Nothobranchius furzeri: one gene and its partner. The protein of the gene in region 1 purifies or fractionates together with the protein of each later gene. This does not show direct contact. Links are inferred from orthologs where the notes say so. Each region holds a gene or a part of one and is shown on either strand. Other genes may lie near its edges.

What was found.
Region 2: the proteins of nop56 (region 1) and gnl3 purify together in Homo sapiens (affinity purification with mass spectrometry; 4 studies listed by BioGRID and IntAct, with this or other methods). This does not show direct contact. The link is inferred for Nothobranchius furzeri from reciprocal best matches to the Homo sapiens genes NOP56 and GNL3.

The regions. Positions count from the first base shown.
Region 1 is NC_091743.1:55,550,296-55,556,245, forward strand, and holds the start of nop56 (nucleolar protein 56), read left to right. Parts: upstream 1-1,817; 5' UTR 1,818-1,957; coding exon 1,958-1,960; intron 1,961-2,424; exon of another isoform or gene 2,425-2,546; coding exon 2,547-2,636; intron 2,637-2,710; coding exon 2,711-2,825; intron 2,826-3,060; coding exon 3,061-3,225; intron 3,226-3,464; coding exon 3,465-3,663; intron 3,664-4,013; coding exon 4,014-4,201; intron 4,202-4,249; exon of another isoform or gene 4,250-4,368; intron 4,369-4,440; coding exon 4,441-4,592; intron 4,593-4,790; coding exon 4,791-4,891; intron 4,892-5,305; coding exon 5,306-5,454; intron 5,455-5,640; coding exon 5,641-5,762; intron 5,763-5,795; exon of another isoform or gene 5,796-5,863; intron 5,864-5,939; coding exon 5,940-5,950. UniProt on the Homo sapiens protein: Involved in the early to middle stages of 60S ribosomal subunit biogenesis. Required for the biogenesis of box C/D snoRNAs such U3, U8 and U14 snoRNAs. Part of the small subunit (SSU) processome, first precursor of the small eukaryotic ribosomal subunit.
Region 2 is NC_091743.1:51,872,932-51,878,771, reverse strand, and holds the start of gnl3 (guanine nucleotide-binding protein-like 3), read left to right. Parts: upstream 1-2,051; 5' UTR 2,052-2,161; coding exon 2,162-2,174; intron 2,175-2,324; coding exon 2,325-2,383; intron 2,384-2,459; coding exon 2,460-2,600; intron 2,601-2,732; coding exon 2,733-2,855; intron 2,856-3,238; coding exon 3,239-3,319; intron 3,320-3,398; coding exon 3,399-3,531; intron 3,532-3,625; coding exon 3,626-3,729; intron 3,730-3,816; exon of another isoform or gene 3,817-3,939; intron 3,940-4,052; coding exon 4,053-4,203; intron 4,204-4,298; coding exon 4,299-4,386; intron 4,387-4,470; coding exon 4,471-4,648; intron 4,649-4,720; coding exon 4,721-4,863; intron 4,864-5,061; coding exon 5,062-5,198; intron 5,199-5,315; coding exon 5,316-5,443; intron 5,444-5,622; coding exon 5,623-5,692; intron 5,693-5,753; coding exon 5,754-5,840. UniProt on the Homo sapiens protein: May be required to maintain the proliferative capacity of stem cells. Stabilizes MDM2 by preventing its ubiquitination, and hence proteasomal degradation.

The sequences.
Region 1 (5,950 bases):
AACCTACATTGCCCTGTGTGAAAAGTAATTGCCCCCTGAACCTAATAACTGGTTGGGCCTCCCTTAGTAGCAATAACTGCAATCAAGCTTTTGCGATAACTTGCTACGAGTCTTTTACAGCGCTCTGGAGGAATTTTGGCCCACTCATCTTTGCAGAATTGTTGTAATTCAGCTTTATTTGAGGGTTTTCTAGCATGAACCGCCTTTTCAATCAATCAATCAATCAATCAATTAGACTTTATTGTTACTAAGGTAGCGCGACTCATGTTCCGAATGATCGCAGTCACCAATTCTTGTCATGTGTCTTACCCATGTATGTCTGATCTTTGAATTGTGTGCACTGAAACTCAATTTCGTTTCTCTGTATGTCCTGCACATGTAGTAGAAATGACAATAAAATGACTTTGAATTTGACTTCAGCCATATACGGTTTGTACACAGTGAGGCGAAACAACGTTCCTCCAGGACCAAGGCGCTACATGCAACATAAATTTACAACATAAAAATAACAGGGAGATCACACTATCTAAGGACAGAACAGACTGACCTAACATGACATGTCCTCTCTAAGTAGGTAGTACAAAGGAAAAAAAGAAAAACCGTAAACTTATTTAGTATGTAGGTAGAATCATACAATATTCATACATGGAGTAAAAAATAAAAACCACAATGCACAAACATAAACAACGTTGCACCATTTGGCTCCGGAGTGGCCGCTGCGTGCTACTGCCGCCGCCGCCATTGTCGTCTTGTCATTTTTAAGGTCATGTAGTAGCATCTCAATCGGATTCAGGTCAGGACTTTGACTAGGCCACTCCAAAGTCTTCATTTTGTTGTTCTTCAGCCATTCAGAGCATTGTTTTGTTTATTTTTCTTCTCTGTATTTTTATTTATATCTTTTCCTTCTCTCTCTCTCTCTCTCTCTCTCTCTCTCTCTTTTGCTATATTGTTTGATGTGTACGTGCTGTTAGTCAATAACGTTGTATATTAATCCAAAATGTTCAGGAATGTTTTTGTAAGATCTTAAAAGCAGAAATAAAAAAAAATAATAAAAAAAATTTGAATTATGGAACTTAATGCAGGGCGGGCATGAAAAAGACAAACCAGTTCCTCTTTCTTTATCCTTTTCATTGAGTCACAGAATGGGCAGTGATGAAGAAGAAAGTTGAAAAGAGGATTGCTATATCATTTTAATTGTGAGTCACACTAAGCAGTTGTAAAGTGAAAATGAAAATGCATTTCTGCAAATGCATTTTCATTTTCAGATTTGTCATTTCAAATTGAATTTTGTTACACATTTGCTGGCGTGTTATTTGAAAACTAGTTCTCAAATGCCTTTTTCTTTATCATTTTTCATGAAGTCATAGAATAAGCAATGATGAATAAGAAACTTAAAAAGCAGTTTTGAGAAATGCTTTTTCATTTTGATTGTGAATCACACTATGCAGTTGTGTTGTGAATATGAAATAGCATTTCTTCTAATGCAGTTTAATTTTCAAATTTGACATTTCAAATTTAATTTTGTTACATTTTTGCTGGAGTGTTATTTAAAAATTAAATCTTAAATGTGTTTTTCTTTATTCTTTTCATTAAGTCACAGAATAAGCAATGATGAAGAAGAAAGTTAAAAAGCAGAGGATTGCTTGTTAATTTTATTTATGAGTCAAATTTGGCAGTGGTAATATGAAAATGAAATATCATTTCTGCTACTGCATAATATTATTTCTGTAACACATACGCTTCCATATTAATTAGCCTGAGACGCCAATTAAACTTCAGTGTGATTGATTATAAGCAGATTTTGCAGATGTGAGGTCTGCAGCAGTTTCAGATCTCGCGGTGATAGGAAGATAACGCGGTACTTGGGGCACGCTCCAGCTCAGTGAAACGTCTTTCTCGAAAGGTAAAGCAGAACTAGCAGACACGCGGCGCGTGCTGCTGCAGAGATTTAACAAACATGGTAAGAAACGGTAATCTAACTATCCAAACCTTGCTCCAAAGTTTTCTTCGTTACTGTTAGTTACTCTTTTATACTAGTGAACTTTTAAAAAGACATTGTTAGTTTTAGAGGCGTTACTAAAGTCACGTCGAAGGCCTGCTAGCATCAGAGGAGCAGGAAACCGTCTTTGGTTGACGTTAGTGGGAATATTATTATATTTCACGGTTAAATGTTTGAACAGAAATCACACACCTGAATAAGTTGGTCGTATTCAAGAGGATTGCAACTGAATTTTACTGTCTAAAAGCAACACGTTTTTGCTAGGCTGTTAGCACGCTAGGTTATTAGCGCGCTCACGTGGGCCCGGGTCAACACGTGGGTTCTTCAAGGCGACGTGGTTACGGGTAAATAGTTGTGTTAGTTTGTTGAACTTTAAAAGTGGACACGTAAAGTGAACACAGGACAGTAAGCTGAATGCAACATACCTAAATTAGGGCTGCCTCCTGGTGACCACGTGCAGTCTAGTGTTAACACTTCCGTCGAGCAGGAAGCTTCCCTCCGACGCCTTAAGTTGTGTCAAACCCTGTTTCTGATTTATCTTGTGCAGGTTGTGCTCCGTGTGTTGTTCGAGCACGCGGCGGGCTACGCGCTGTTCGCCGTCAGAGAGGTGGAGGAGATCGGAATGCTGCTGCCACAGGTGAGTGCAGGATTTATCAAACCCCAGATTCTCGCCTGCCGGAGCTGAGATCGCTCACTGTTTATGTCTGACAGGTAGAGGAGAGCGTGCTAAGCGTCGCAAAGTTCAACAGCATAGTGAACCTGGCCGCCTTCTTCCCCTTTAAGTCGGCCCAGACAGCCTTGGAGAATATGAACGCGATTTCTGAAGGTTAGTGTTCAGTTTTTGTCTCACTGAGATTAAATCATCCTCAGTAGTAATGATGTGTTATAATCTGTCAATCCACTGAGTTAATATGATGACAGCCTAATGTGAACTCTGAACATCTGAGGATCTCCATGTGGTCTGGATTAAGCCTCCAGTTGTTAACCCAACTTCTGTTTATGTGGATTAAATAAATTACCTTAAAAATATTTATATGGTAATTATGATTATTTGTTTGTAGGTGTGGTTCATGCAGATCTCAAGCTGTTTTTGGAGACAAACCTACCCCAATCAGCAAAAAAGAAGGCTGTTTTGGGAGTTTCTGATGCCAAAATTGGAGCTGCTCTTCAAGAAGAATTTAATATTTCCATCCAGACTGGTGGCGTGGTGGCTGAAATAACAAGAGGTGAGAATTAAGTTTTATTAATGGCTCGATCTAAGAAGCCATAACAATCAGGTCACTTACAGATGGATTTTGACTTCACGTCTTCTGAACATTTCAAAGCTGTTGTGATGTGATCTTGTGATCCTGATGCTCATGAAGGCTCATACTGAAAATCTGAACAGCCATCAAAAAACAGCATTCTTTCACTATTCCCTCCCAGTACGAACTAACACACCTAGCCATTTCTCTGATTCAAACAGGCCTGCGTTTGCACTTCCACTCATTGGTGAAGGGTCTGACTGCCCAGGCCGCATCCAAGGCACAGCTGGGTCTCGGTCACAGCTACTCCAGAGCTAAAGTCAAATTTAACGTCAACAGGGCTGACAACATGATCATCCAGTCCATCGCTCTGTTGGATCAGCTCGACAAAGACATCAACACATTCTCTATGCGTGTCCGGTAGGATTCTGATCTGAAGGTTTATATTTGATCATATGTGGGGTATACTGGTTAGAATCTGTAAGAAATGTTTCTGCTGAGCGTTTCAGCTCATTTTTCTTTAATTTCATAAGTGAAATGTTTTCTTGAGCACTCCTCCTAATGCTTACCACAGGCAGCGTACCACAGAGAGCTGTCTGTATAGAAACAGGAGGTACAGGAACCTCTCCTAACGCTTGTGCTGTGCTAGCTTTAGTCTAGTAGGGCAACACTGTTGGGTGAGACAGGTTGTATTGAGATTTGTCACAATCACCAAAAACCCTAAGCTTGTACCACCTGTTTTTACACAAGGGTTTTGGTTTTATTTCCAGTGAGTGGTATGGTTACCACTTTCCAGAGCTGATTAAGATTGTCCCTGAAAACTCCATGTACTGTCGCCTGGCGCAGCTGATTGGTAACAGAAAGGAGCTGTCTGAGGAGAGTTTGGAGAGCCTGGAGGAAGTGGTGATGGACAGCACCAAGGCCCAGGCCATCCTGGATGCATCTCGCTCCTCAATGGGTGAGTAACATGTGCTAATGTGTTCCTGCTTTAACTTGTGCCCCTTTTTTGCCCACCTGGACCTCTAAATGTCCTTGGTGTCTAACACAGGGGGGTAAAGAAACTCTCTCATAAACCTGTAGTGAAGGCACAAACCCTCACTGCGGATCCTGTCGGGAGAAACAAGCTCATGGTTCAGATAACCAAACAGAATCATGAATTTCCTTCTGCTCACCACTTCCGGGTTGTTTCTATTTTAGGTATGGACATCTCTCCCATCGACCTCATCAACATTGAGAGGTTTTCCAATCGTGTCGTTTCTCTGGCTGCTTATCGGCTGGGGCTGCAGGAGTACCTGCGCTCCAAGATGAGCCAGGTGGCACCAAACCTGGCGGCCTTAATCGGAGAAGTGGTGAGCACAAGTTTATTTAATCTAGTTTTATGTGGACCAATGATGTCATGCCTAAATCTGTCAATCCACTGATTTGATGTGCTGAGAAACTCTTCTGGTGCTGATGGTCCCTGATGTGTGTAACTGGCATGCAGGGTAATGTAGATCTGCCAGTGGTGCTTGCCTGACTTCTTTTTTTTTTTTTTTTTTTGCTTTTAGGTTGGAGCTCGGCTGATTTCTCACGCCGGCAGTTTAACCAACCTGGCCAAGTACCCTGCATCCACGGTTCAGATCCTGGGAGCAGAAAAGGCTCTGTTCAGGTACTTGGGCGCCCCCCTCCCTGCTGGGGAAACTTGTGGTTGCAGTGATGGCAGGGCTGGGCTGGAGCAGAGCAGGGTGACTGGAGAGGGCTGAAGCCTTGTCTGGAGTGATCCCTCTTGCTCTAATGCACCCCCACAGTCTGAGCACCCACTCACAGCACAGAGGTAGAAAACCGATGAAATCCCTGTTTTAAATGAATCCGTACTTTGTCGGTGGTGACCGCTAGCTTTGAGAGAAAATGAACACCGATGCTGTCAACTGTAGTCAAGATTCAGTGTCAATGAACGAGCTGACCTGTAACAGTGGTGTAGAAGAATCCACTAGAGGGCGCTCATCTGGCTGATGTTAGACATGTAGCCGTGTTATTTAACTGTTCCTGATCTGAATGTGAAAGAAGTTCTGTTTTCAAACAGAGCCTTGAAGACTCGGGGCAACACCCCAAAGTACGGTCTGATTTTCCACTCAACATTCATTGGGCGTGCAGCCGCCAAGAACAAAGGCCGCATCTCCAGGTATCTGGCCAACAAGTGCACCATCGCCTCAAGAATCGACTGTTTTTCTGGTGAGTGGAGCTGCTGGGGCAGGACCAAAGCTTTCTGTCTGATTTGCAATGATGCTCATATTTTTCGTCAACAGCATTCATCCTTCGGGTTGATGTTGAGATAATGTTTTCTGAGCAAGGCTGTCTCGAGTTGGCTCTATTGTGGTCGTCTGCTGGTTTTTCATGGTGTGCATTTTGTTATTGCAGAGGTGCCAACGTGTGTGTTTGGTGACAAGCTGCGTGAACAGGTGGAAGAGCGACTGACGTTCTATGAGACGGGTGAAGTACCGAGGAAGAACGTGGATGTCATGCAGGAGGCTATGAAAGAGGTAAGATGGTGGGACAGAAAAATAGTTTCTTACTGTAAATGATGACCAGTCTTTCCCCGACATCACGATGGGGGTAAAAACTGATTTAATGAGTCTGATGCAGTGTTGCTGGATCTGACGGGACACCCGACAGTCCTATGGCTGTTTTTAATCTCGCTTCCCTTCTGTTTCCGTCAGGCTACGGATGT
Region 2 (5,840 bases), about 3.7 Mb from region 1:
CTTGTCGAAAGCTTTGGGTTAAAGAGGGTTCGCTTTGGATGGCCTGTCCGTAGCTTTCTCTAGAACTGACTCACCATCTAGTGAGCTCTGTTCTAATATTCTCATATTATGATTTATTGGCCAACTGGGACGTGCCATGTTAAGGGGTGTTAACAAGCAACCCTCAGAACATCACGCCTTCTTTCAGATACAGGATGTTCTGATTTGTGGCTAAGAAAATATCTATGTGTTATGATGTTTAACTGAACTTTAATTTATCTCTAATGAACCTTGTGTCTGAGTGTGGATAATGATTCACTTGTTAAATCTACAATTACTAATCATACCATAATAATATTCATTTCAAACTTCAGTAATTCAAGCACAGATTAATCAAAAGATTATTGATCATTTCATATGACATTTGTTCATTCCATTTCACGATTGATTAACTCATATGAGCTGAAAATAGTCACTTTATTCAGAGGCATGAGGAATCCTGCAGTGTTATCAGAAGAAGGCTTTGTTTGGGAACACAGGCTGACATCGTGTTCCTCCTGAAATGTCAACAAGGTTTGCAGAACCTTGTTGCTTGTTGGAAGGTAGAATGTAAAATCCACCTTAGAGAATGGAATTTATGTCTGCCGGTGACCGGTGGCATGTAGGTCAGTTTTTAGGTGAAAACTGACCATTGCTGGACGTTACATCAGCGATTCTGTTCATAACTTTTATGGACAGGATTTCTAGGTGCAGCCAAGGTGTTGAAGGGATCTGTTTTGGTGGCTTAAGGATCAGGTCTCTGTGTTTTTGCTGATGATGTGGTCCTGTTTGCTTCATTGGACAGTGATCTCCAGCGTGCGCTGGAGCGGTTTGCAGCCGAGTGTGAAGTGGCTGGGATAAGAATCAGCTCCTCTAAATCTGAGACCATGGTCTTAAATCGGAAAAGGGTAGAGACAAGGTCCTGCCTCAAGTTAAAGGATCTCTGTGTCTTGTTCATAAGTGAGGGAAAAATGGAGAGTGAGATTGATAGGCAGATTGGTGCCGCGTCTGCAGTGATGTGGGCGCTGTACCGATCTGTCGTGGTGAAGAGAGAGGCGGAAGTCAAAGCTCTCAATTTACCGGTCAATCTACGTTACTACCCTCACCTATGGTCATGAGCTTTGGGTAGTGACTGAAAGAACAAGATCATGGATACAAGCGGCCGAAATGAGTTTTCTCCACAGGGTGGCTGGGCTTTCCCTTGGAGATAGGGTGAAAACCTCAGTCATCTGGGAGGGGCTCAGAGTAGACCCGCTGCTCCTCCACATCGAGAGGAACCAGTTGAGGTGGCTCAAACATCTGGTCAGGATGCCTCCTGGATGCCTTCCTGATGAGGTTTTCCAGACAAGTCCAACTGGGAGAAGGCCTAAAGGAAGACTCAGGACACGCTGGTCTCACGGCTGGCCAGGAAACTCCTTAGGATCCCCCTGGAGGAGCTGGCCCAAGTGGCTGGGGAAAGGGAAGTCTGGACCTCCATACTTAGGCCACTGCCCCCGCGACCCAACCCCAGATAAGCAGCCAAAAATGGATGGATGGGGTGACCTTTTAACTAGAATAGATCAGAGTTAAGCTAAAACTAATGTATACCTCAGGTTTATATACCTCAGCAGGGTGGCCCAGATTTGCTGTCAGGGTCTCTGACTGGCCCACCCTGAACCCCCCTACAACTAACCCTGCTTTTGAGAGTGTTGGAAGCTCTTCTGAAGAATTAAGTGACTGAATAATGCAGCAGCTGTTGATGGATTTAAACAACTGACCTTTGGAATAAAACTTGTATTATCTTGTGCATTCTCATGTGAATGTTAAATATTTAGCTGGTAATTTTTAATAGTGTGCCATCTTGATCTGATGTTCATATCATGGGATATCCTGGTTTAAAACTGCATAAAAATAATGATGGTCATATTTTCAGGTGAGTTATAAAACTGGTTATTCCAAGTTTTATTAGTTTGACTGTACTTTATAATCAACTATCATACATGGAAGTGCCTGTAAAAAAAAAGCTAAGGTTGTAATACACCTCCCCACCAGCAGGTGGCGAAACTTTCTGGTAGAAAAACCGGAAATTAAACATCTGACCTGCCTAGATAGACTTCCACGTGCGACACTGCAATAGTCACGTTGTCGGTCTCAGCGGTTCATCATGAGGCGACCAAGTAAGTTTAGTTGTTAATTAAGGTTTAGGCGTGTAAATATTTGTTTTATGAGCGTTTATATGTTAGTTCTTTACCATTTGTACGCGGTTTAGCGAACAGCAGCTTCTGTTGTTGTCCTCTAAGCTAACGCTGTCTGATGTCTTCCTTCAGAGTTAAAGAAAGCGAGCAAACGGATGTCTTGTTCCAAACGTTACAAAATACAGAAAAAGGCAAGTGGTGTCGTCATTTTTACTTACTATGAAAGGCCCCTGTGGTAATTGAGATTCACTTGGTGGTCTGACTTAGGTTCGAGAGCATCACAAAAAACTTAGAAAAGAAGCTAAGAAGAAAGGAGTTAAAAAACCGGTGAAGAAAGATCTCGGAGTTCCCAACAGTGCTCCTTTCAAGGAGGAGGTCCTCAGAGAGGCAGAGCAGAGGAGGCTCCAGGTAGGTCCTTCACTCTCTTAGGCATCATCACATTTTATCTACAGAGAGCTTCTAAAGGCTGATGCTTAAGGGATCTTTGCACTGCTTACAATGGTCTTTGTCCTCTGAGCCTTAAGGAGTTTTTATTTTTAGATTGAAGAAGAAAATGAAAGAAAACGACAAGCCAAAAAAGTGGAGCGAGCCCAGAAAAGGAAAAAGGAGAAGGAGGCTGCTGCAACTACAGAATCAGAACCTGATGCCAAGAAGACGCGAGTGGTAAAGGGCCATCTGATCCAACTGGTTCTTAAAAACAAAATCTGACTAATGTCGGCTGAGAAAATGAAGTGGAGCTCTTTGAAAATGAGTTTTCTCAGTTTTAAACTCTTAGATAATCTAATCAGTGCTCTCAAATTCACAAACCACTGGGATTTGTGAACTCTGTGCATACTTTTGCCAACAATTCTTTTAGGTTCAGTAAAAACTTAGATTTGCACAAGAGTAGATGGCTCCTAAACTCATTTAGAAACACGGGAGTAAGGATTTCAGGCTGGAAACCCCAAGTTTATAAACTATTACAATGGGTTTAACAGGGTTTTATTTTTTATTTTATGCTTCATCATTCTTGACCAACATGTCTGTCTTTTATTTTATTTATTCAGGATAAAACATCAAATCGTTCAGAGAAACAAGTAACTCAAAACAAGAACTCGAAACATTTTCTCTGCTCTCAAATAAAAAAGGTAAAATAACTTCATTCAATTCATTTTACAAGGAAGTAAATTTGTTTATTAAGGGTTGATTTTTTAAAATCTGTTGTAGACAATTGATGCCGCTGATGTAGTGATAGAAGTCCTTGATGCTCGAGATCCGTTGGGCTGCAGGTGTCCACAGCTGGAGGAGGCTGTGCTGCTCTCGGGCAACAAGAAATTACTTCTAGTTTTAAACAAAATAGGCAAGTGGACACCGCTAACCTGCAGCTGTTGAAGTCCGTACAAGTTTTCTGTTTGTGGTGAGGTTTTCTGTATTTTTCACCTTCTCATTTGCAGATTTGGTTCCAAAGGAGAACGTGGAGGCGTGGATGGAGTGTTTGCAAAAAGAGCTTCCTGTTGTGGCATTCAAAGCATCGACGCAGATCCAACACAAAACTGTGGTAAGAGGTGCTTTTTAAATGCTAAAGATTGTTTTTGTTTTTTTTAAATCCCGGCGAAAATGTGCAAATGTTTAGTTTTACTGACGACGGAGGACTGAGAAGGTTGAACAGCTTGCACCATGCTGTTGTAACAGGTTACGCCTCCAAGAGTAATTAACAAACTGCACATTTATGTCACTCTGATGGAAGCGGGGCTGATGTGTGCGTTTGTGGATCATTAAAATAGAATTAGAAGATTATCTTGTAATAAAAGTGCCTGTAGGTGCAAGCTTAGGCTGCTTTTTAGACGCAGATTTCATTTAATCCTGTTTTTTGTTTACCAGCAAGCCAAAAAGAGCAGATTTAAACCCTCCAATGATGTCCTGGACAAGTCCAGAGGAGCAGCCTGTTTTGGAAACTCTTGTCTCATTGAGATTCTGACCAGTTTAGCTGCTGAGAGACAAAGTGAAGCTGCTCTCAAAGTTGGTGTAGTCGGTGAGTCGGTTGTATTTTATCTCATCTTCATGTTTTCTGCAAGTTTTGGTGTTTGTTCAGAGTTTGAGATCATCTGATTTTTCCTCCTCTTGCAGGTTTTCCTAATGTAGGGAAGAGCAGCCTCATTAACAGCTTGAAAGGAATGCTGGCGTGTAATGTTGGGACTGTCAGAGGCACTACGAAGTAAGTAAAAGGAAATTAGATTGTATGTGTTTATAAAATGTGTTCTTTCCCCATTGTGTATTACATTTTCTTTCTGCCGGTCAGACATATGCAGGACGTGCACATCCTAAGGAATCTGAAGGTGATGGACAGCCCAGGGATTGTGGCGTCACTGTCGAATCCTGCCGTTTCCATGACTCTGAGGAGCCTGCAGGTGGAGGATGGTCACCTGAGCAAGCTTGATGCTGTCAGGACGCTGCTGAAGGAGTGCAACAGTAGCCAGGTGGGAAGCGCTCTCACTTCAGCAGGCTTGGGCTGATTTTGGTGCCTGTTGTGACGTAGTTGTTTCTTGTAGATCATGCTTCAGTACAACGTTCCAGACTTCAAAAATTCCCTGGAGTTTTTGACTCAGTTGGCTAAGAAACGAGGGTTCCTGCAGAAGGGTGGCGTTCCTAATACGGAGCAGGCGGCTAGCACTTTCCTTGACGACTGGACGGGGTGAGGGTTTTTTATTTATGCTTTGTGGGGATGAGCAGGATGTCGGTGTGGACATGAAGACAAAACGCACATCTGGATTTGATTTTGAAGACTTGTAATCCAACTCTGATCCGAACGCTGGCTGCAGCTACGCTGTGTCACAGATTTGGCTTCTGTCTTGACTTTTAATCCCAGAACTATCGTTTGGTGTCTCCTCAGAGCCAAACTAAGCTACCACTGTAAGGTTCCGGGCAACCACAGCCCCCCCACTTACGTGTCTGACACCGTGGTGGCTAAAATGTTCAGCGGCTGGGATCTCAGCAGGATAAAAGCGGGAAATGAGGAAACGCTGAAAGGTATCAGTGGCTTTTTCCTCTCCAAATTCTTAGGCAGCATTTTCAGTTATTATGAGTTATATGAGCGCCAGAAGCTTCTTCTGATCCTTTCTGTGTTTCTGTTTATTTCCTATGAAGGTGTTAAGTTTCCAAACCTGGCCAGCAGCATAAGTTTTCACTCTACAGGCCCAACAGCTGGTCTGCTGAGTGTGGCCGAGGTGTCTGAAGATCAACCCATAGCTGCAGAGCAGAACAAGGATGTAGAGGTGAAAACATGTTTTAACTGTTCAGCTGCTTAAAATCTCCTGGAAATGAGGACAAACTGTTAGTCTTGATTTGTTAGTGAAGACTTCTAATCCAACTCTGATCCGGCTGAGTTAGTGGGGCTCCTGTAACTGGGTGCGTGACGGAAATGAGGAGGATGAATCGTCTGTTGTTGTTGCAGCTTGAACAACCTCACCAGGACTCGCCTGAAGCGCAGCCGCTTGAGAACCCCCAGAAAACTTCACACAAAGGTACGTTTGTAGAATACAGTTTCCTTAATAAATAAACTGATTTTCTGCCTTTTGTTTGCAGAGAAACGGGTGAAATTTCAGCCCGTCCCCGTCGACATCAGCCTCTCTACAGTCAGCACAGACGACGCCTATGACTTCAACACAGATT